Ovis aries: one gene and its partner. The protein of the gene in region 2 interacts with the protein of the main gene of each other region in a pairwise test. Links are inferred from orthologs where the notes say so. Each region holds a gene or a part of one and is shown on either strand. Other genes may lie near its edges.

What was found.
Region 1: the proteins of NUDT18 (region 2) and EVI5L interact in binary tests that used the Homo sapiens proteins (3 or more experiments, as listed by UniProt). The two-hybrid records come from large-scale screens. The link is inferred for Ovis aries from reciprocal best matches to the Homo sapiens genes NUDT18 and EVI5L.

What each region holds. Positions count from the first base shown.
Region 1 is NC_056058.1:14,341,925-14,345,524, reverse strand, and holds the start of EVI5L (EVI5-like protein), read right to left. Parts: upstream 2,177-3,600; 5' UTR 2,011-2,176; intron 1-2,010. UniProt on the Homo sapiens protein: Functions as a GTPase-activating protein (GAP) with a broad specificity.
Region 2 is NC_056055.1:43,495,150-43,506,027, forward strand, and holds NUDT18 (8-oxo-dGDP phosphatase NUDT18), read left to right. Parts: upstream 1-4,852; 5' UTR 4,853-4,977; coding exon 4,978-5,139; intron 5,140-6,056; coding exon 6,057-6,270; intron 6,271-6,639; coding exon 6,640-7,235; 3' UTR 7,236-7,648; downstream 7,649-10,878. UniProt on the Homo sapiens protein: Mediates the hydrolysis of oxidized nucleoside diphosphate derivatives. Hydrolyzes 8-oxo-7,8-dihydroguanine (8-oxo-Gua)-containing deoxyribo- and ribonucleoside diphosphates to the monophosphates. Hydrolyzes 8-oxo-dGDP and 8-oxo-GDP with the same efficiencies.

The DNA.
Region 1 (3,600 bases), on a different chromosome or scaffold from region 2:
CGCCCAGCTCCATCCCAGTCAGGCCAAGGTGGGGAAAAAAAAAATAAAAACCAAAACCAAGCCAATTCCTCACTCGTGTTCCACCCGAGCCTCTTCAGCACATTTTTCCCTTCTGAAAATATTCCTTAACAAAGAGCTGCCTGCTTCTGGCAGGCCCAAACCCAGCCCCACCGGGTCCCAAATGCCAGGGTGGGTGGAAGCTGTTTCATTTTCTCATGACACACTGGCCATGGGGGAAGGAGCTCCCGGGCCAGTCATGGGCGGCATCTGGGGAGCTGCTGCCATCTGAGGCCAGCAGGCGTGATGGGGTCAGGATGCTGGTCCTACCAGTCTGGTCAGACTTCAGGACTGGGGCCAGGGGCAGCCGGCACCCCCAGCCTATGCCACGGGTGGCATCAATCAGGGGGAAGGCACTGGGTCTTTGGGGGAGACTGGTGTAGGGGAGAGAAAGAGGGAGCATCCTTCCCTTTGAAGGGAGAGAGATGGATGAATGGGGAGAGATGGATGAATGGGAAGAGGTCTGGGACAGGTGTCCACAGGGATGCTGGGAGATTCTGGGTCACTCTGCCACCTGCAAGGCTACGGTGAGGGTACCGGTTCAGGCAGGCTGGTGTGGACGGAAAGGCTGGCCATCTGGGGCAGGGCAGGCAGTTGACATCGGAGTCTCTGCCTGAGCTGGGAGCTGGTGGCGGCTTCCAGGAGGACTTGGGCAGGTGAATTCCAAGGAGGAGTGCTAAAGTGCTGAGGAGTTGTGTGTGTGTGTGTGCATGCGCATGTGTGTATGGGAGGCAAGTGTGTGTGTGCGTGTGCATGCACATGTGTGCGCGCGTGGGAGACAAGTGTGTGTGTGTGCACACATGCATGCACGTGTGTGTGTATGGGAGGCAAGTGTGTGGTGTGTGTGTGTGTGTGTGTGTGTGTGTGTATGGGAGGCAAGTTGGGGGTTCCCAACTGCCTGGGTCTGTGTTGGAGGTCTTAAGTGTTTCTGTGTGTGCTGGGGATCCAAGAGTCAGACTCTGTGTGTGTGTGTTTGTGTGAAGGGCTCCTGAATGTCTGTGTATGAGGGGTCCAGGCCGTCTATCACACCCACCCTGGGCCCCTCATACTCATATCAGTATGAGCTGTTGAGGATTCATAGCTTTTGCTCTGTTAGCTCTCAGGTGTGTGTGTGTCTGTGCAAGTGAGTGGAGCCCTCAGAGGGGTGGGTGTCCCTGGTTGGGGGGTTCAGACTATCTGTTGGGCTGTTCCAAGCACAAAGTGAGGGTGGATTTTCAGGAGCAGGGATTGAGGGGAATCAGGTTCAGGGGTGTGTGTGTGGAGGATCCCAGGAGTGGTTTTCAGGGGTGCCCTTGGGCATGGGGCTTCTGGGAGTGGGAGATGGGCCAGCAGGCTGAGGTGAGGCTTGTGGGCAGGAATCCAGATTTACAGAGGCTGAGGAGGGGTCAGACTGGAGGGGTATGGCTCTAAGGCTGGTATCTTTGGGGGTGGGGGCAGGTCTGGGCCCAGGGATGGGATATGAAGTGAGAAGAGGGACGGCGTGACCAGGGGTCTACAGATGAAAGGAGTCTTGGGGGATCCGGAGAGAGGGAGGGCGGGGGTCCTGGGCTTGCGGCGGGGTAGGGGGCATTTGCAGGGGGCGGGTCTGTGGGGTGGTGACTGGGGGAGCCCTGAAGGGCCTGGAAAGGGGTCCTGAGGATCAGTAAAGAGGGTAAGCGGGGGTCACGGGCCTGAGGGGGGCTCCCGGGAAGGGCGCTGTGTGGGGGAGGAGGGCACCTGGAAGGGTCCTGGGAGGGGCCCAGAGGGGTCGGGAAGCTCCAGGAACGAGGATGTGCAGGGGCCAGGGCCCGAGGCTGACGGCCAGTGTCCGTGCTGGGAGTGCCGAGGGCTCCCGGGGCGGGTTCCGGGGCAAGGGGCCCGGAGTCCCGGTCTTGCCCGGCCCCCGTGGGCCGCAACGCGGAGCCGCGGGCCTGAGAAGGCGCCCGGGAGGCCCGGCCCGTGCCGCCTACCTACCTGTGAAGAGCGCGCCATCGCCATGTCAAGTCTCGCCGTCCCGGGCCGCGCCGCCGGATCCCCGCCGTGTCGCTCGCCCCGCAGCCCCGGCCCGGCCCGGCCCCCTCAGCCGCCCCCCGGGACCGCGGTCGCCGCCGGCTCCGCCGCTGCCATTTCACCCGCTGACAGGAGCCGCTGCCCCGCCCCCGAGGCCCAGTCAGCCAATTCACCGCCCCCAGCCGCTCTGGCTCCGCCCACTGTCAAGGAGTGATGGCGTGTTTGGCCAATCCTTGGTCATATCGTAAGGCGGGCCCTGGCTACGGCCAGAAGGTTGCCGCCTTTAAGGAGAGAAGCGAATTGAAGTTAGGGAAGCAGTGAAGGACGGATAGTTTTGCCTATCGAAATGTGGCGCCCTGTTGATCAACATTTGGCATGACCAATAGCGAGGAGAGAGGGGTGTGTCTCTGAGGAAAGACTGCGTCCCTGAGGAACCGCAGACAGAGGCAGGCGAGCGTTTGGCGCTAAGCCCCGCCCAGAGCCGGGCTTTTTGCCCAGTAATGAGACGTCCTGGGACGTCTATTATTATCTGTCCCTCAAACCTCGGCCATGGCAACTGTTGGGCCGCTATAAAGAAAATTGACATCTAGCGAGCCAATGACACTGAAGGAGGGCGGTGAAGTAACGCTTTCTGGCCAATGAGATTGCGATATTGTTGTGCAGTTGCCCTCCCGGGCGGTGGGACTTCGGGCGTGAATGAAATAGGGGAGGGGCTGAGAGGGGCGTGGCCTAGATCAGCCCTGGGACAGGGGCTGAGCAGGTAGAGGCTAAAGGGTTGGATCTGAGAAGGGGCGTTATCAGAAGTCCCTGCGGCTGAGGGACAGCATCTTCACACTGCCCTATTTGTGTTGGGGGCGGGGCTTTGGGGGATTGGGGTGTCACACCGGGGACTCAGGCCCTCCGCTAGTCTAGGCCAGGTTAAATATCTTCTCTTAAGTGTCTAATGTTCCTCCATCAAACTGTGAGCATGCCGTTATCACTGCTTACATGACTCCCACGCCCCCAACACCTCTTAGACCCACGGGGGCAGGGTGGGAGTGATGCAGGGCCTAGGTCAGGTTTCCTTCCGTGGTCCTCAGCATTGCTGAGTAGGGGCCTGGCACATAGGACTGCTTATAAAATGTTTGATAAATGAATGAATGGCGGGCCCAAGATGATTAACAGGGAAGGGAAGGGAAGGGTGGAAGGATCATTCAGGCTGGGGAGTTACTGATAGGGGGCAAGACTTAGCAAAAAGGACACGCTTACACCCCAAGATGCAGGGAAGGGTCCTGGAGGGGCTGGGGCAGGGAAGAAGGACCCTTTCACAGAAGATAGGGTGACATCGTCAGCTCAGAATGGAGCTGAAAATGGAAAGAGACAGAAATGGGAACGGGAAGCCTGGGACTCAAGATGGGCCATGTCAGGACCTACTGAGGTCTGAGATCTCAGTCTTCTAAATAGTAGGTAGGAGGTTCCTTCTGGTTTGGGGAGCAGTGAACGACATCAGGCCACACTCCCTGCCCCTGTCATTTGTCTCCGCCTCAGTCTACACTCTGTCTAATCTACATTTTG
Region 2 (10,878 bases):
GGTCACTTGTATTATTTTAGGCTTGGCAGTGATTTACATAAACATTGCCCATTTTTCCAAATAATTCAATTTCTTCCTTGTATGCAAGGCTAGGCTATTTTCATTTTTTTTCCTGGGATAGGAAAAGAAGAGAAAATTAAGGAACTACTGCCTTTGATGTGTCAGTGTTTTAACTGATCTCATTGAAACCTTTTATCATAACTTTGGGGTCGATATTATTTAATTCTGTTTTACAGAAGAGGAAAGAGGGAGGCTGGGGTTAAGTCACACCCAAGGTCACACAGCATCACCCAAGGTCACACAGCAATTTTACTGGCAGCACTGGGGCTGGAGCCAGGTTTCCTGACTTGAGCTACCTCATGGATATCACAGCCTTCACACTTAATGGGCTTTGCAGATGGCCCTTGCTGCTGTCTCCTCTGTCCTCTTCCTTCCAGTACAGACAGCCACTTCTCAGCTGCTCTTGTTCCAAGTGGCACAGAATGAGCTGTCCTTACCTATATCTCACCTTGTAATGCTGTGTCCTAATGTCACCCCAGAACCCCCTACATGGGGTCCTTCCTGTGGGAAGATGGGAAAGGCCTCGTGACAGGGCCTCTCCCCTCTCCGGGCCTCTCCCCCTTCCAGTCCTCTCTGCCACCTCCCTTTTCGTGGCGCGTTGTAGCATCCTTGAGGGCATATTGGGTCGGGCTCCTAGGGAACAGAAGGTGGACCAAATGTTCCAGGACTCACCTGGGAATGAAGCCAGTCCAGGTGGGGACTGACCCTGAAACAACCTGGGGCCCTTGGTGGCCCTCTTCCTCAAGGAGGCTCAGTGGGCCACCCCCAGTCCAGCCCTGTCCTTTGGGCCTTTGTTTCTCCCAGCATCCTGTGGTCTACCTGCTCTAGTCCTGCTCACTGGCCCAGATTTCACAACCTCAGAGCCAGACGTGACATCAGAATGTACATATCCAACTCTGCCTTTCTCTTTTTTTCTTATCAAATACACTTTTTAGGCTTTTTTTCTGGGTGGGGGGCGCTGTACTCTGTGGCTTGTGGGATCTTAGTTCCCCAACAAGGACTGAAGCCAAGCCCTAGGCAGTGAAGGTGGTAAGTCTCTTTTTTTCTTTTAGACTTTTTATTTTGAAATGATTTGAGGTTTCCAGTTGAGTCGCAGAGATACTACAGGAAGTTCCCAGTTAGCCTTCATCTAGCTTCCTCGCATGGTAACATCGTAAATAACCATGGTGGTGGTACTAAATTGCTTCAGTCGTGTCCACCTCTTTGCAACCCTATGAATGGTAGCCCGCCAGGCTCCTCTCTAGGCATAATACTGGGGTGGGTTGCCATGTCCTCCTCCAGGGGATCTTCCCAACCCAGGGATCGAACCCTTGTCTCTTAACATCTCCTACATTGGCAGGTGGGTTCTTTACCACTAGCACCACCTGGGAAGCCCATGTAACCAGGGTACAGTGATCAAAATATAAGAAACTGGTACTGATACAACTCTATTAACTAAGCAACAGACTTTATTGGGCTTTCACCAGTTTTGTTTGAGGATCCACTCATTTTCCTTACAGGTGGCCTTGAGGGTAGATGTGGCTCCCTCGAGGTCACTCGGGAAGCTAGTGGTAGGGCACAGGTTGAAGTCTGGCCTCCTCCTCCCAGTGCCCTGGGCTGCTGCCCTCCTCACCCTTCCTGCTTTGTCCAGGGCCAGGGCTGCTGCTCCTTTAAAGAACTCTAACTTTATAGACACCCTTCCCCCACCTTGCTTGCCTGGCCCGATTCTGAGGTTGCCTACACTGTCTTTCTGCACACGTGCTCACATGCACATGCTTGTCCACAGGCCCTGAAATGGCTGGTCCAAGCCTGGCTCCTGTGGGCGCTGGAAGCATTGCACCGCAGGGCCAACCAGTTCAGCCACTTCTGTTCACTGGGCTGCATGTGGCCACCCACACAAGCCAGTGCTCTAGCCTCTGTGGGAATGGAGGACGCAGAGCACATTTGATGGAGCCCTACCTTGGTTTCAGGTTCTAGAGGTTTCTATCTCAGCACCTCTCCCTCCCTCAGCTTTTCCAGTTCTGCCTTAGGGTCTCTCCTGTCTCCTGTCTCCATCTGGTGTGTGCCCTCTGACACCTGGAGACAGTCACTTTCTGTTGTCCTTCTCAGCATCTCGGAAGGCCTGGTAAAGAACCCTCCTGCCGATGCAGGAGACATAAGAGAGGTGGGTTCTACCCCTGGGTCAGGAAGATCCCCTGCTGGAGGACATGGCAACACACACACATTCCCCATTCTTATCTGGGGAATCCCATGGACAGAGGAGCCTGGCAGGCTATAGTCCATGGAGTCGCAAAAAGAGTCAGACATGACTGAAGTGGCTTAGCATGGTACAGCACAACCCCCTCTAGGGCCTTCCACCCATGGGGCCCTTCACTGTTTACAGCTGGTTTTCAAGTTTCTCTCATGTGCTTCCCATCACCGGGGTGATTAGGTCCACTCAACTGGCGAGGAACGCTTTGCCCAGTGATAATGGGGAGAGTGGAGCCGCGGTTTGCCACAGTCTTTGCTCTTCCAGGCAGTTAGGCTGTCTGGTGTTTATCTTAGGCCGCCTCTGAGGCTTTCAGAGCCCTGCCCAGACATGATCTCACTCTCTCTCAAATCATCCCTGGGAGGCAGAAGGGAGTCTGGGATGAATGCTGTCCCCATTTCACAGATGTGAAAATAAAGGTCTAAACACACACAGACATGCGTGTGTGCCTGGCAAATATGTGAAAAAGTTGCTTTGCAGTCCTGGGAGCCTGATTTCAGCCCTGTTAATTCAGTTGTTTGGAACGTTTGAGGTCTTGGTTGGGGTGGGGGCGGCAGCGTTCACAAGTGCCTCACATGATTGCAGCTCCCCCAGGGATAACCCACAGCTTAATCCAGTGCCCTGCCTCCAGAGACCTTGCAGTCAGTTTAGTATTTGAGAAGGGCCTAAGGAGGCTTATCTGGCGTGGCTGGAATTCCCCAGACTAAGGTCTAGTTCATGGTGGCCCTTAGGCACATTTCATAAGTGAGCCTTTGGTAGCCACAAAGGCTGTGGCCAGGAGAGCCCAGGCTGGAGCCTTGCTGGGCTGCTTGGTGGTGGTGACCCATGCTGGACAGTCCAAAGAGTTCCTCTCATGATGGCTCACCTTCACAGTAGTCCTGGGAAGGAAGAGCTGTTAGCAACTTATTGTAGAAAAAAACAGAGACATCACTTTGCCAACAAAGGTCCATATTGTCAAATCTATGGTTTTTCCAGTAGTCATGTATGGATGTGTTAGACCATAAAAAAAACTGAATGCCAAAGAACTGATGCTTTCAAATTGTGGTGTTGGAGGACTTCTGAAAGTCCCTTGGACAGCAAGAAGATGAAACCAGTCAATCTTAAAGGAAATCAACCCTGAACATTTATTGGAAGGACTGATGCTGAAGCTGAAACTCCAATACTTTGGCCACCTAATGTGAAGAGACAACTCACTGGAAAAGACCCTGATTCTAGGAAAGATTGAGGGCAGGAGGAGGGGACGACAGGATGAGATGGCTGGATGGCATCACCAACTCAATGGACATGAGTTTGAGCAAACTCTGGGAGATGGTAAAGGACAGGGAAGCCTAGCGTGCTGTAGTCCGTGTCTCACAAAGAGTTGGACATGACTTAGCAACTGAATGACAAGAAAGACAAGGAAACAGGCCCACAAAACAGACCCACAAACAAGTCCCTGACGCTATTAGGGCACAGGATCAACCAGGGAGCAATGGCTGGGCATCCAACTCCAAGTCCAATGCTTAGCTCCACCAAGCTACTGTCCCCCCAAAAAGGGGCATGACCAAAGCCAGGAGGAGGGAAAAGGGAGCCCTCACTGGGACTGAGCTCCTCAGTCCTGAGAAGAGGTTAAAGGAAGAAGGAAAGGTCAGGCTGGGGGAGAAGAAGGAGCTCCTGAAATCAACCCACACCTTGCTCTCAACAGACCAGAACCCCACCAACGCAGCGGTGGTGGAGCGTGGGGCAGGGGGCGAAAGGGGGGCGGAGGGGAGGCGGGGGGGCTGGGGGGGCGGGGGCGGTAATAACAAAGTTGAAGGAGCAGTACCCATCCCCTGAAGGGGAGAGGGCCCGGACCCTGCTTAGGAAATGCGCTGGACTGGAGGCCGGGACAAGGTTGATGACGGCTACGCGCACTGACGTCTGCTCCAAGTTCTGCCTCCCATGGCCAGGCACAGCTCGACCATCCCAGCTCTGCAATCTCCCTCCTCTGAGCGCCTGCAGCATCTCATGCCCAAATCAATTTTTTGAACCAATCCTGTAGCACTCGCCTTATAAGTCAGCTGGCTTTCCATTATTTGTCTACGTCCACCTTTCCAACTAGATCAGAATCTTCTCCAAGGCAGGAGCTCTTGTCCTCCCTGCCACGTGACAGCCAGTACTTTCTCAGTAGAGAAATAAGGTTATTTGGGAAGTGTCATTCAGGGCAATGCCGTGGTTTGTTTACAAGTGCTGGACACTGGGTCCACGCCGCGGGCCCGGTGACGTCTTCGGGTTTGTGATGTCACCGTCGCTGGCTGCTGCGCCGCTCCGCAGCCTGCGGGCAGGTGACGTCACCGTCGGAACCCGTGCAGACAAGTGCACGCCGGAGGAATTAGCGAGGCTGGCGGCCTGAGATGCCGGGAAAGAGGAGGAACCGATGCAACGGCAGATGCAGTGTGGCGTCCGCACCACCGGGGCTGGGCGCCTAGCCCCTTTATGGACTGGCTCCGCCCCCGCCGTGACCTTTGCGCGCCAGCCAATCCGAGCCGGCCGCGGTGACGCGCAGCCTATCAGCGTCCACAACACGCCGGGCGCTTCCGTGTTCGCGAGCGCACCCGACCCGAGTCCTCAGGGGGAGGGGGCGAGGCCGACGGGCCCCACCGTCACCCACGTACAACCCACCAGGCTCGGCCGATCTGCGGTTCCCGGCCCGCCGCCTCTCGGGGGACCTTATGGCTTCGGAAGGCCTGAGAGGGGCGCTGACGGCCGTGCTGGGGGGCCGGGGGCTGCTCGTGCAGAACTATGATTCGGGGCCGGCTGGGGAGCCGCCGGCGCCGGTGCGGCTGCGGAAGAATGTCTGCTACGTGGTGCTGGCCGTGTTCCTCAACGAGCAGGTGAGCGTCCGCCCGTCGGGCCCACCGCCCAGGTCTCTGGGGCTCGCAGCCAGCCCCGGTAGGGAACAAAGGACGTACCGGCAACAGCCACAGCTTCCTGGTGTGTGGCTCTTCCCAGTTTTGCAAAGCACTTTCACACTTAACATCTGAGCCTTGAGCAGCGCAGCCCTGCGATCCTCCCAACGTACAAGGGAGGAAACTGAGGTTCACGAGCCTGTTTAATCCCACCAGGCCTCAGTTCCTTGAGAGGAGGCTGTCTTACTCCTCTTCCATTTTCCCCAGAAGCTAGCGCGGTGCCCGCCATGGAGTGGGCTTAAAAACCTGTCCAGTGCTTCAGAGGCTTCCCCTCGGCCCCATGGGCAGTAAGTGGACAATTTTTCCTTACACCCAGGCCTCTGACCCCCTGTTTGATGCTCCGATTGGTGTTGATCCCTGTACATGGTGCGGTAACAACAGCTAGAACGGGTCAGAGCCATAGGTAGGAGTTGTTTGGCGTGAGGGTTTGGGGTGTGTTTCAAAGCCTAAGCAGGCCACACAGAGTTTGTAAACCGTGAGGGGAGGTGAGAGATATACTGTGACTTGTGCAGATGCTAATCAGTGCAGGACGCTGGGCAACCAATCCCTGGAGGCCTAATCTCCAGCCCCTGAAGTAGCTACCAGAATTCTTAACCCCTTTCTGAAATGGAAACCTGAATGCAGGGAAAGATGAACTGCAGAGACCGCTGCAGTCCCCATACCCAGGGCCAGTCCCCTGGAGAACTCAGCAATTTCAGGGTGGCCCCTGGGATGTGGGTACTGAGCGACTATATCTGAGATTGGAGCTGGACCCAGAGCAAGTGAAGGCTGCTGGCTCTGCTGCCCCCCCTGGAGCTCCCATCCCAGCTGTGGTGGGCGAGGACCCTCTCTCTCCCCCTCAGGATGAGGTGCTACTGGTCCAGGAGGCCAAGAAGGAGTGCCGTGGGTCGTGGTACCTTCCTGCGGGGCGGATGGAGCCTGGGGAGACCATTGTGGAGGCGCTGCAGCGGGAGGTGAAGGAGGAGGCCGGGCTGCAGTGTGAGCCTCTGACGTTGCTGTCTGTGGAGGAGCGGGGCCCCTCCTGGATCCGCTTCGCATTCCTCACCCGCCCCACAGGTATGGCCCAGCAGGTGGGCAGCGTGGGCTGAGGGCAGTAGATACCAGTCCCCTGGCTTGTCCTCAGGTGAGATGAGCCCCTAGTCTGGCTAGGATAACCCTGGCATCTCCAGATTCCAGACTGAACACCTGATCCTGGGCCTCCCCCCTGGGTCACAGCTGGAACCCTGGGTGGCCCTTTATTCTACCAGGCCCAGCACTTCATTCAACATAGACCTTTTCTCCCTCCCTGTGCCCTGGAGAAGGAAATGGCAACCCACTCCAGTATTCTTGTTTGGGAAATCCCATGGACAGAGGAGCCTGGTGGGCTACAGTCTGTGGGGTTGCAGAGTTGGACACAACTGAGCACATCCCCTGCATCTCCACCAGGTGGAATTCTCAAGACTCCCAAGGAAGCAGATGCAGAGTCCCTACAGGCTGGCTGGTACCCACGAACCTCACTGCCTACCCCACTGCGGGCCCAGGACATTCTTCATCTGGTCAACCTTGCTGCCCAGTATCGCCAGCGAGCCAGGCACCCTCTCCTCCTTCCCCAAGAGCTTCCCTGCAGTCTGGTCTGCCAGCGACTTGTGGCCACCTTCACCAGCTTCCAGACAGTGTGGGTGTTGGTGGGCACAGTGGGGACGCCTCACTTGCCTGTCACCGCCTGTGGCTTCGCTCCCATGGAGCAGAGGGGTGGCATCAAGATGGCCGTCCTGCGGCTGCTACAGGAGTGTCTGACCCTGCACCACTTGGCAGTAGAGACCAAGGGGTTGCTTGGACTGCAACACCTGGGCAAAGACCTAACGGATGGCATCTGCATGAACGTGCTGGTCACCGTGGCTTTTCGGAATCCGGGTCTCCAAAACGAGCCCCCAAAGGTTCGGGGTGAGAACTTCTTTTGGTGGAAGGTGGTGGAGGAAGACCTGCAAAACCAGCTTTTACAGCGGCTTCGGGACTCATCTGTCGTCCCAATCAACAGATAGGAGGTGGGCGTCAGTGGGCCGGAGCAAGGCATTCGTGCTTTGGAGGAAGTTTTTGCTTTGGAGCGGGGCAGGGGTGTGGCAGTCAGAGATCTTCTTGCATGAGGACCTGAGCAGTTCTCCTGGCTCCCAGGGGGACTGCCCTCTCTTGTCACCACGGAGCAGGTCCCTGCACAGCACCCAAAGGGACAATGCCTTCAGCTGAACAAGGAGTCCAGAGCTCGGGGACCCAGTTGCCCTGAAATTCCAATGAGGGCAGGACTCCCTAAGGGGACGTGAGGACCTTCGGGACCTGAGGTGGCATCTCCTCATTTTCTGTGCCCTTGCCAGATGCTAGGCACTTGGAACATGGAATGGGTGTGGGGGAGGTCATTCCAAGGGAGAGGGTCCCTGGCTGAGTAAATAAGTGTTACTGACTTTGCATTCCCACCTATATGTTTCTGTGGGTCGGACTTGAGCTGGAAGGGGGAACTGCTATCAAGAGAAGCTCCTCCCCTCATCCCATGGAAACCACACAGGCCTTCCCAGACAGCAGGTGACCGGCTGGCAGACTCCCTTTGTCCACCACAGCTTGACGCAGGCCTGCCGGGTGGGATGTGGGCACACACCCTCCAAGGTCTGAGCAGTGAGATGCCCAGAAGCTTCAGGTGGGCGAGGAGCTGTGAGAGCTGCCCGTCTCTTTTCTCCTGAGTTTCTCTGAGGGATCAGCGTCGCTCCGCCCCCAGGCTCATTCCTGCCTCTGCCCTGGTACAACTCCAGCCCAAAGCCAGACCAAAACCCTCTCTTCATTCCCCTTAGCTCAGCTGAATCATGGTAGAAATTATTATTTTTTTTTTAAAGAACTTTACTGAAGTTTAAGGGAAAACCAAAGGAAATGAAGAAATATGTACTGACTGCTATACACGCATCACTGGATGTACAGTTTTGGTTCTGAGCAGGGAAAATACTTGGCTGGGTTTCCCTCCTGAAGTAACTCCACTCTGACGCCCAAGGACCAGGACAACCTCAGAGGCCCCTGCCCTGCCTCTCTGGCTGCCATCTTGTTTTTCTGACCTCTGGAGCTGTGCTAGGAACCCACTTGTTCCCTCTAAAGACTTCTTCCAAATGAAGGAATCAAACCCTTTTATTCTGGATCCCTTCTCTTAGTGTCTGAGGGACCCACTGGTCTGTAAGCACACTGGACAGTGACCTTTACTTCCAGTATTTAGCCTATTATTAATAGTTTTCAACCCTTCCCTGGTGGCTCAGACAGTAGAGTCCACTTGCAATGCAGGAAACCTGGATTTGATCCCTGGGTCGGGAAGAGCTCTTGGAGAAGGGAATGGCAACCCACTCCAGTATTCTTGCCTGGAGAATCCCATGGACAGAGGAGCCTGGTGGGCTACAGTCCATCGGGTCAGAAAGAGTCGGACACGATTGAGCACCTAACTCTAGCACTTTCAACCCCAGGTACCCCCTAGAATCACCTGGAGAGCCTTAAAAGAGCAATTGTGGGTGTGCCCTTAGAGATCTGATTAACTGATGGAGGGTGGGACCAGGGCATCGGTATTTTTAAAAGCAGCCCAAGTGACTGGAACATGCCAGGAGGTGAAAGCCACTGATCAGCCCTCCCTCTTGCCTTGCCTGGAGGACTCTTGGTGACCTTCCTCCCCAGAGCATCTCCACGCACTCAGGGACTAGATTTTTTTAAATATGAGGCCCAGGACTTCCCTGGCATCCACACGCAATGCAGGGGGCACAGGTTTCATCCCTGGCCAGGGAACTAGATCCCACACACTGCACAGTGCTGCAAAAAATAAAAATCAGGCCCACTGTTCACCACTAAAGCAGTCATACCTTTCACAACACAAACCCTGCAAAGGAGACTTGTGCACGGATGCCCCAGGTGGCCCATTCCCTAGAGTGTCTCTGGAGCTGCCGGCTCTCAGCTGTAGGCAGGCCGAGCAGAAATAGAGCTCCCTGCCCAAGAGAGGCCGGTTTCCCGGTTCCTGGCAGGCGCTGGGGGAACATCACATTTGCGCTGCCAGAGCCTGCCCGTTTACCACCCGCCCCCACCACACAGACACTGCCCTCCCTCTGCTCCTGTGCTGGGAGAGGAACTGAATTCGTCTTCCTTAGGGAGGAAGATGTGCCTGAATGAGCAGTGGAGCCCTGGGCAAAAGGACACGGGGAGGACAGAGAAAAATGGGGCAGCCATGACCACGCAACCACACCATTTATTGCCATGCTGTCTGGGGAGACACTGTGCGAATGTTCAAGTGCATTGAGGAGGGGAGGGTCTGACTCCCGGACGCTTGAACGTTCTTTCTGAGTCGAAGAGTCCAGACCCAGTTCACCGCCTCGTTCCATGCTAACGCCCATGCGTGGGCACACGCAGGGACTTGCACGGTGTCCTCGGGAACAGCAGGTAAATCCTCCCCAGCTTGGAGGAACGCAGGAGAGGTAGAGGTCACTGAGTTTCCTCTGCTTTCATGTCACCTCCTGGCAACCTGTGGCCGGCTTCTAGAAGCGGCATGGGCAGGAAAAGGAAGCGAAAGGGGCTCTGGCCTGCTCCTCCTTGCCCAGGAGTTAAGCCAGCAACTGCAGTTTGCTGTGAGGTAATGCCTGGCGCCGCCTGTGTGTTCCTGCAGGTCGAGACAGATTTGGGCCGGGTGGGGTGGCAGCCCCAGCCGCAGAGGGCACGCTGGGAGAACGGCACCGCAAAGGACTGCCTGTGCCCCAGCCCCACCCTGCCAGGCCTTGGGGTCGAGAGGGGGTGGGGGAGGGACGAGGGGGCAGGCTGCGGGCCAGTGGGCACCCTGGCCTCACCTGGACCCGGACCTTCCGGCTCTGCTGGGAACAGTATTCTGTGGAGGACCCCAGCCGAATGCTTGGGGTGAGGCCTGGCCTCCCCGGGTCTCTGAGCCCCTCTGCCCAGGTGCTGTGGACCTGCCGAGACGGGTTCAGAAGGCGCCAGCGAGAAACCAGCTGGAGCTGGAGCCTGGCATCCAGCCCCCCGGCTTCCCAGGCCCTCTCCTGCCCTGGCTGCAGTTACTTCAAGCTTCTCATTAGCAGCTGCCCCCGCCTGGCTGTGGAACATGCTTTGGGCATTTGCCACGAGGCTGTTGGAATTTTGCAACAGTCTCTAGGAGGGTGAGCTGGAAGAGGGGCTCCCCCTGCCATCCATGGCCCCTTCCCCAAGTGTTAAACCGAGAAGGCAGGAGAAAAAACATCAAGTGTCAGCAGTATCTGTGGTACCTAGTGGGACAGAGATAGGGCCGTGCCCCCATCTCTCTGGCCTAGGGGCATGACCAGCCTCAGAGCCACTGACTTACTCCCCATTGTGCCCCTATAATTGAGTCTCAGGTCTTGGCTCTGGCCATAGAAGACCCATGGACACAGGTGACAGGCACAGAGCAAAGGAGGCTCTGGCTCGGGGGGACCTGGCTGTCACCCAACTCCCCAGAGAGGGCCCCAAGGACACCATGCTGCCCAGGAAGCCACCGCCTTGGCTCCTTGGTTCCTGGTACCTCAGAGACCCACTCCTTGAAATCCAGTCTGGTGCAGCCAACGGGCCAAGGTGGTCTTGAGTCAACCCAAGAGTGGAAGGCCAGACCTCCACACAGGTGGAAGTCCCTGGGATATAGAGGAGATGGAGCCAAGGCCA